2 linked regions of the Coturnix japonica genome follow. The protein of the gene in region 2 interacts with the protein of the main gene of each other region in a biochemical or structural test. Links are inferred from orthologs where the notes say so. Each region holds a gene or a part of one and is shown on either strand. Other genes may lie near its edges.

Evidence for each region. The genes of interacting proteins can lie anywhere in the genome.
Region 1: the proteins of DRD2 (region 2) and NCS1 form a complex in vitro, tested with the Homo sapiens proteins (2 studies listed by BioGRID, with this or other methods). The link is inferred for Coturnix japonica from reciprocal best matches to the Homo sapiens genes DRD2 and NCS1.

The regions. Positions count from the first base shown.
Region 1 is NC_029532.1:4,462,501-4,466,827, reverse strand, and holds the start of NCS1 (neuronal calcium sensor 1), read right to left. Parts: upstream 2,884-4,327; 5' UTR 2,477-2,883; coding exon 2,413-2,476; intron 1-2,412. UniProt on the Homo sapiens protein: Neuronal calcium sensor, regulator of G protein-coupled receptor phosphorylation in a calcium dependent manner. Directly regulates GRK1 (RHOK), but not GRK2 to GRK5. Can substitute for calmodulin. Stimulates PI4KB kinase activity.
Region 2 is NC_029539.1:4,993,035-4,996,624, reverse strand, and holds part of DRD2 (D(2) dopamine receptor), read right to left. Parts: intron 1,521-3,590; 5' UTR 1,490-1,520; coding exon 1,208-1,489; intron 1-1,207. UniProt on the Homo sapiens protein: Dopamine receptor whose activity is mediated by G proteins which inhibit adenylyl cyclase. Positively regulates postnatal regression of retinal hyaloid vessels via suppression of VEGFR2/KDR activity, downstream of OPN5.

The DNA.
Region 1 (4,327 bases), on a different chromosome or scaffold from region 2:
AGTGGTTAAGCAGATCCATTAACGTGTCAGGGGATCTGTGAAATGTGATGCTCCCAGTGCAGTCGCAGCGAGGCCCAAAGTGCCACCAGCCACTGTCCTCCCATGGACACGGGGCAGGGGATGGGGCTGACACCCCAACACTTGGCAGGGCAGAGTCAGGGCAGGGCAGTGAGGAGCTCAGCCTGAAAACTGGAGCATTTTCACTCTTTTCCCCACAGAACTGAGCCAGCCGCTGCGTCCCCCGTAACTCCAAATCGATCTGTTTGTAGGTTGCTCTGAATCTAATGGCCATTAATTCAAGGCATTACTGGCACGCAGCGGAGCCAATTTTGTGGTTCATTGTAGAAGAGCAGAAAGTCCCAAAGTGAGCTGAAAGTTCACTAAAGAGAGAGCAGGGAGTGGGACACGGTTGGGGTTAAGGTCCAAAGGACCCCAACACGAGTGTTTCAGTCCCATGGAAGCAACTACAACTGCACACAAGTGCTTTGCACCAGAGAACCATTAAGGCTGGGGAAGCCTTTACCTTCAGCCTGAACCTTCACAACCTGAGCCCATCATCTGTCATCCACCTGCATTCAAGACTTGGACACAACCTTTCCTGCATCCCAAGATCTTCACGGCAGAACCTTTTGATCTCAACCAAACAAATTCAACTCCCAACATTCCCAAATCCCAACCCCAACCCCACACTGTGAGCAGAACAACCATAACCCAAAACCCTGCTGGGATGGCAGCTCCTGGAGCCCCACCAGCACCTCCTGGGACACTCAGTGCAGCACCCAACACTCCATGAGCCACCACCACCATGACAATGAAGCACTCCAAGAGCTTTCAGATGAAAGGCTCTGTGGAAGCACAAAGAATTACAGAATTTATTATTCATTATTATTCTGTGTTGGCCCCTCTCGTGGATGGGACCTGGGCTGCCAGGTGGGTTGAGCCTTCTCTGGTTCCCCCCATAGCACTATGGGCACCTGGGTCAGCACAGCTCAAGCAAACAGAAAATGATGCAACAGAAGGAAATCACACCGTGGGAGAAATGCTGCCCATAGTGCAACCACAGCTCTCAACATCATGGGCACATCCCTGGGATGAAGGTATCTCTCCACCATCAGCTCCCTGCCAACACCTGTCCAGGGCCAGAAGCACTCAGCAAAAGTAATTCAGACACGAGCAGTGGAATGAGCTCAACAAACTGAGCCCAGCATTAGGGATGGCTGCAGTCGATGGGCACCGTGCACTGCTGGGGGGGCACAGCCATGTGCTGTCCTGATGGGGAGGCACAGAGCAGACACACACAACCTGGGTGCAATGAGGACGGGGGGCTTTGGGGAGGGCACCCAGGAGGGGCACAAAGTTGGAGCCACAAGGCCACAACCCTGTGCCGGCCTCATCCAGCAGAGAGGACGTGCATTCACTACAACGGGTGCCAGCAGGTCCTGCAGCCCATGTGCCCTATAGGGCAGCACCTTCCCAGCACGGAGTGGTGCAAAATGCCCAATGCAGCATCACTGCTCAGAGCCGAGCTGAGCTCCGGGGCTGTGCCCCCCTCCCTCTGCACGGTGACAAGGAGCAGCCCCGAGTGCGGGGGTGTGCAATGCACCAGCGATGCCTCCTCTCCGTATGGGAGAACACGCTGCATCCTCATCTATTGCCTTTTTGGGTAAGCGCTGCCGTGGGACTGCAGCAATGACAGCGGGAACGCTTGCAGGTCTGGCGGGGCACGGAGCCGGTTGTGAGCTTAAAGCAAAGGGGGGTGAACGGGGAGGGGAATTGGGAGCAGCGGAGCCTTTGTTTCCTCCGCGCATCCTTCAGAACGGAGCAAAATAAAGGAGGTTTGGCTCAAAGCGGATGGTTCGGGCATCGGCCGCGAGAGTGAGGGGACAGCGGAGGATCCGAGGGGAAAGGAGCCGGCTCGGGGAGTTAAAGCAGAGACCCGTAGAGCGGGGCACGGAGCGAAACGACACAGGAACGGCACCGAACTTCGGGAGCCGCGGGGGCAGCGCTGCCCCAAAGGGGTCGGAGCGTCCGGGGCTGCGGAGTGGGGCCGGGGGGGGTCGGGGTACGGCAGCCGGGGGAGGGGGGAGAAGGATGCGGCCCCGGTGCCGCGGTGTCGGATGCTGAGCAATAGGCGGCGGAGTGCAGCGTGTGCGGGGAGCCCCGCGCTGCCCTGCCTGCCTGCCTGCCCCGCTCCATGTTTTCTCCCTCCTCCTTCTCCCAACAAAGCCGGGGCTGAGTCTGCGCGCTGCGGGAGGGGCCGACCCCACCGCGGTACCCGCAACCCCGCGAGCATCCGCGGGGCGCAACCGCCGCTCCCCCCATCGCCCCCTCCAGCCCCAAATCCTCTCCCCCCTTCCCAACCCTCCTCCCCCCCCCCGTTCACACCGCGGTCAGCCCCCGCTATGCACTCACAGTACGTTTTCCTGGTCAGCTCCTCCACAACTTCAGGCTTCAACTTGCTGTTGGATTTCCCCATGGCGATGCGGAACGGGCTCAGCTCGGGGGCATGGAGGGCTGCGGGGCCGGGAGCGGGGCACGGAGGGCCCTACATCCCGGGGAGGAGCGGAGCGCTGCGCTCTTTGTTGCCGGGCTTCGGGGCTGCGGAGATGCGGGGCCGCTCTGCGCCTCCGCGCGGCCGCTCCCGCCCCTCTCCGCGCTCCCTCCGCGCTCCCTCCCCTCCCTCCGAGGGTTGGGGTGCGGGAGGGGGGGCCCGCAGCTCTCGGCCCGACGCCGCCGGAGCTCAATGGGAGAGAAGGAGGAGGGAGCGGGCTCTTGTAGGGCGGAGGTGGGAGGGGGGGATGCTCGCCAAGGGCCGGAGGATGCGGAGGGAGAGAGGCGGCGGTGTGAGCGCAGAGGGAGCTGCGGGGTGGGAGTGACCTTGGGGGGACGCACCCGGATGCACAATGGCCCCCTCCTCCCTCCTCCCTCCCCCCGGTGCCGGCTCCCCGCTCTCACGCCGGGATCCCCGCTACGAGCCTTCATTCATCGTGCAGTGAGCGATGCACCCAGCCGGGCCGTGGCACCAGAAGCCGTTTTCCCCACCTCAAACCCAGGCAGGGCTGGATGCCCCCCAACGCAGCGTGATGCACACGATAAACGCGGCTCAATTCCAGCCCGTGTTGCAACGCAGGCCCCGCAGGAGCTGCCCGGACACGCCGTGCTCCTATAACAACAGCCAGGAGGAAGAAAGCACATATCTCTGCTTGGATACGGTTAAACCTGTCTGCGGGGCTGCAGGCTTTTGGGGGACAAAGACCCTCCTGCTTGCAAAAGGCCCCGTGCATCCCCTTCCTTCCAGCAAAACGCCCATCTTTGCAATGCTCTCCTTTGCGCCGAGCTGTGACCGTGTTGCAGCAGGGCTGTGTTGCTGTGTGTGTGTCTGTGTGTATGTGCAGAGCAACCAGAGAACAAGCCACAGTCCCAACCGGCCCCGCATAGATCAGGCATTTCAGCACGAGCTCTGCGATGCGAAAGGGATTTAATTCTATTTAAAACTCTCCCCTGCCTCCATCACCGAGAGAACTGAATAGAGAGCTCAGATCTCACCGAGGAGAGGAGAAAAGTAATTGGGAACTGTGCGAGCCATCCACTTTCTCTAATTATTAGCTTGAACCTTGCCATTGCTTAAATAACAGCACCGGTGGCAGTTGCTGGGAGGCAGCAGAATGCAGCCCCAAAACCAACACAGCGGGAGCTGCGGGTGGGCAGAGCCGTGCAGGGCTGGGACAGAGCGATCTGTTCCTTTTGGGCTTCCTTGTGCCCCAGGAACAGGGCAGCAGCGGGGAGGGCTCAAAGCGTGGGGGAGGAAGGAGCACACACACACGAGATTAATTGTATCGGCTGCAAAAAGAGCGGCTATTTTAAGGTTAATGCTTAACGATCCTGAGTCAGGCAGAAGAAAAGCCGAAGGAAAGCAGAGGCAGCAGCTCAGGGTTGAACTGGCACAGCCAACCCCCCAAACAGCTGCTGCTTTGAGAGGGAGGGGGAAAAAAAATTCCAGCGGAATGAGTTCAATTTCCTGGTGTAAGAACCGCAGCGGGCAGCGCACTGAGCCCGTCCCATCCCAACCTGCCCTCACTGCTGCAGTGCTACGGCTCCTGAGCACAAGGAGATGGGGTTGGGGGCAGCACCAACAGGACCCTACAGGGCTCGGGAATCAGCCAAGAGCGGTGACACGGACCCCAGCAGCTCTCCAGCGTGGGCTGCTGCTGTTTGAGTTCATTGTAGATAGCGTGGTTTTAGACGGAACACGGCGAGGAGGAGGAAAACAAATCAGGTCATCGGGTAAACGGGCGCAGCAGCGGAGCCTGCAGGCTCAGCTCCCAAA
Region 2 (3,590 bases):
GTGCCACACAAACAATAATTAACTGGAGTGATAATTAGTATTGTGGCTTCTCGACAGCCCGTGTCACATCAGCGGGTTTGTTTTGCCTTGCATTAATACTTAACGAGCTGATTGATTATGGCTTCTTCCATTGCTTGCCTCTGTTTTATCATTTCCTCTCCTAATGAAATGCCTGAAAATGAATTGCAAATTTGGTGTAGTTCCAGTCTTATGCTTTCTCTGTCGGTCGCCAGCATCCCAGCTCTTGGCTGTTTGAGGAATGCAGCCATCCCAGCCAAGGACAGGGGGAAGAACAGCTTCTGCTGCTCCACTCTTTCCTCTAGAGGCTTATTTCATTCTTTTGTGCTGTTTACTGTTGCAAGAGCCCTTCGCTGCCGGGTAAGCAGTATTTTGGAGTATTTGGCTTTCTTAAAACAATGTGCCACTCAAGTATGGCTCGGTGCTGCAGAAGCATAGAGCTCTTTTGTACCGAAGAGACATGCTAACGGCAGTAATGTGACAAGTAGCTCACTTGGGAGTCTGTTTCTCTTATATATTGTGACATAAAAGCTCTGGATTTACAACCTACTTCTACAACTGCTTGCTCTTCTTACTACTGCAGTCCTTCAGGAATAGGTTTCTGATTACTGCTCTGTGCAGTTTTACTGTGACCCTCATGATGTTGTTTTAGGCTCATTCTTGTGCTTGGGAATGTACAGATTGTTGGTGCGGTCTTGAAAACAAACTTGAGATCTTTCACTCTTGATCCCTGGATTTATAGGCCAAAATTTCAATGCTATTGGGTGGTAATTCAGCCTTCTGAACAATAGCATGTTTTCAAGTGAACCTGTCATCTGCTATCATGTCTGTTCATTTAATAACTCGACTATTACAAAATTTAAAACAAAGAATCTTAGAATTATTAAGGTTGGAAAAGACCTCTAACATCATCTCGTCCAACCTACCACCAATACTACCCACTGACCACATCCCTCCACACTACATCTACCATTTCTTCAAACACCTCCAGTGATGGTGACTCCACCACTTCCCTGGGCAGCCTGATCCAATGCCTGACTACTCTTTCCAAGGATACATTCTCCCTAAAAACACTTCTGGGGAAATTCTGGAGGTCTGGAAATAGCTGACGTCCAATTTGCTAAACCTTCCCCCTCGGAACTCCTTTACCAGAACCATTCAGTACTGGGAGGAAAAGCTGGTCACCTACCTCCAGATAGACCACCCAGGGCATGACCAGTGTGGCCACCAGGAGATCCGCCACTGCCAGGCTGACGATCAGGTAATTGGTGGTGGTCTGCAGGGCTTTCTCCCTGGACACAGCCATGCAGACCAACACATTGCCAAACACAATGACAAAGATGAGGAGGGTGAGCAGCACAGCATAGTAGTTATACTGAGGCTTCTGGTCTGCACTGGACTCGTTGAGCGGCTTGCTCCAGTTCCTGTCCCCAGTGTCACTGTTGTACCAGGAAAGGTTTAGGGGATCCATGAAGATGAGCTTGCCAGGTCCCAGCTCCACTCTGCACAAAGATGTTGGAAAAACAGACAAATATTGACATGTAAAATAAAACCAAAATGACCATGCGCACGCGGCCTTGCTCCTGAATTCCCATGTGCAGATGGCTGCTGAATGGTAGTGCTACGGACATCCAGAGCACTGCTTGAGCTGATAGTCAGATACCTGGGCAAGGATTTGGGAAGTTCATTTCCATTTTGGGTTAATTCCCCCAGATTTCTGCAGTCTGGACTATCAGTAGCAGTCATTACATGAAGAAAAGGGGGGACATGTCAGAGGGTGCAGTCAAAGAATAAAGGCAAGAGCTGTTTAAAGGCAGCTGGAAGTTCTGACTATTTGTTTAGGAGTTTCAGTTTAGAAATGGACCTTGTTTCACTTCTCAGCGCTTCCTGAGATCACCTGTTTCATTTTTGCCAAGCTGCACCTCCATAAAGACCAGCGTGATTTGAAAATCCAGCCACGTTCTCAACAGACCCTTAAAAAGGCCATTTAATTTCCTCACTAAAAGACAAAGCGAATTAGATTTATAGAATCACGTAAGTGATCAAAATAGCAAAACATTTGCAAATATCAAATTCACTTGGGAACAATGGTTTCCTTATGTTTCACTGAGCTTTTGTGCGCTTTCTTCATTCAGAGAACAATTTGTATAATAAACCCTGAAAATTTGTTGCATATGGGTCCTTAATAGCTGATAATTCAAAAAGTGTCTGTCTGACAGTGCTATCAGCGGCACTTGATAGCTCTACAAATGTCTTCTTAAAAACTGTCAAAGTGTCAGAAATTAATTAAATGTTAGCTTATGTGACTCAGAGTGAAGGGGGAAAAATCAATGCTAAATGCAGCGACAATTTCTTCTTTTCTCCCATTGCCCTTTGATAATGCAAAGCTATCTACAGAAGGCAGAAACATGCATATAATGCAGGATGGGAGGGGTGGGGGGGGAGGAAAAAGCAGGAACATAGAAAAGTATCTGGAAAGTATAAAAGGTGTTGAATGGTTTGATATGTGCAGGTTCAGCCCCTTGGCTGCTCCAGCTCCCAAGCTCTGACTGCAGTTCATTTCCAACTCGATAACTGCACAAAATTACAAAGCCATGGGTCAGGTTCATTCCAGAACCCAGAAAAAGAATGGGCATGGAAAGGTGTTTGGTCACCAGGAGGTTTGGTAAAGGCTGGGCTCTGGTTTGGGAAGCAGAACGGCTCAAGGTCAGCCCAGTTCCCTTCTACCACTGCCCGTCCCACACCAGATCATGTTCCTGTCAGGCACAGTGATGTCCCACATCAGAACTGCAGTGCTGTTGTGTTCAGCACATCTTGCATAGGTGTTTCCAAGACCATTTTGTGCAAGCCACAGTCACATCATACTGATGAACAGCAAGGTTATTTTCCAGAGCAGAGTAATAAGCTGACCTTGTGCTTCTTGTAACTCACTATAATGGCTTTGGTCTGTTTCAGCTTTTATTCTGGTGGAAAAAAAGGGGAGAAGCATAAAACTGATTTTGGTTGCAAACCCAACTGCACCATCATCCTTCTCCTCTATTTTCTCTTCAGGAGTGAGCCAGGAAGTCTGCCATTAGTTCACAAGCAGGAAGGGAGGATCAGCATCCCTGCCCTACTGGGAAATGCTTCTTGGTGCTGCCTAGAACAGGACGGTGCTTCATGGTCCTTCACTGCTGATGGCTTCTCAGACAGAGCAAGGAAGAGTTTTCAGTGCTTTTATCCAGATAGCTGCGTGGATGGAGGCTGGGGGATGGGATCATAAGTGCAGAGGAGAGGGAGGACGGGCACCTGTGGGAATGGGGTCAGAGCTCCACACACCACTTCCAGGGCAGCACAGAGCCAGGGCTGCTCATGCAGGGCCGTGGGACGCAGGTGTGGGCAGAGCCCTGAAACAGAACAAATTCCATCCTGAATTAACTGCAGCAAAGCCACCTTAATTCCAGCTGGGAGCCCACACGGATTGTTAGCGTGCCTGAGCTAATCCAGCTGCGGATTAACTGAGCGGTCAAGGGCAGGATGGAGCAGCAAGGTCACAGCCCTGTGCCCAGTGCCTGCCCTGATTCCTCCCCACA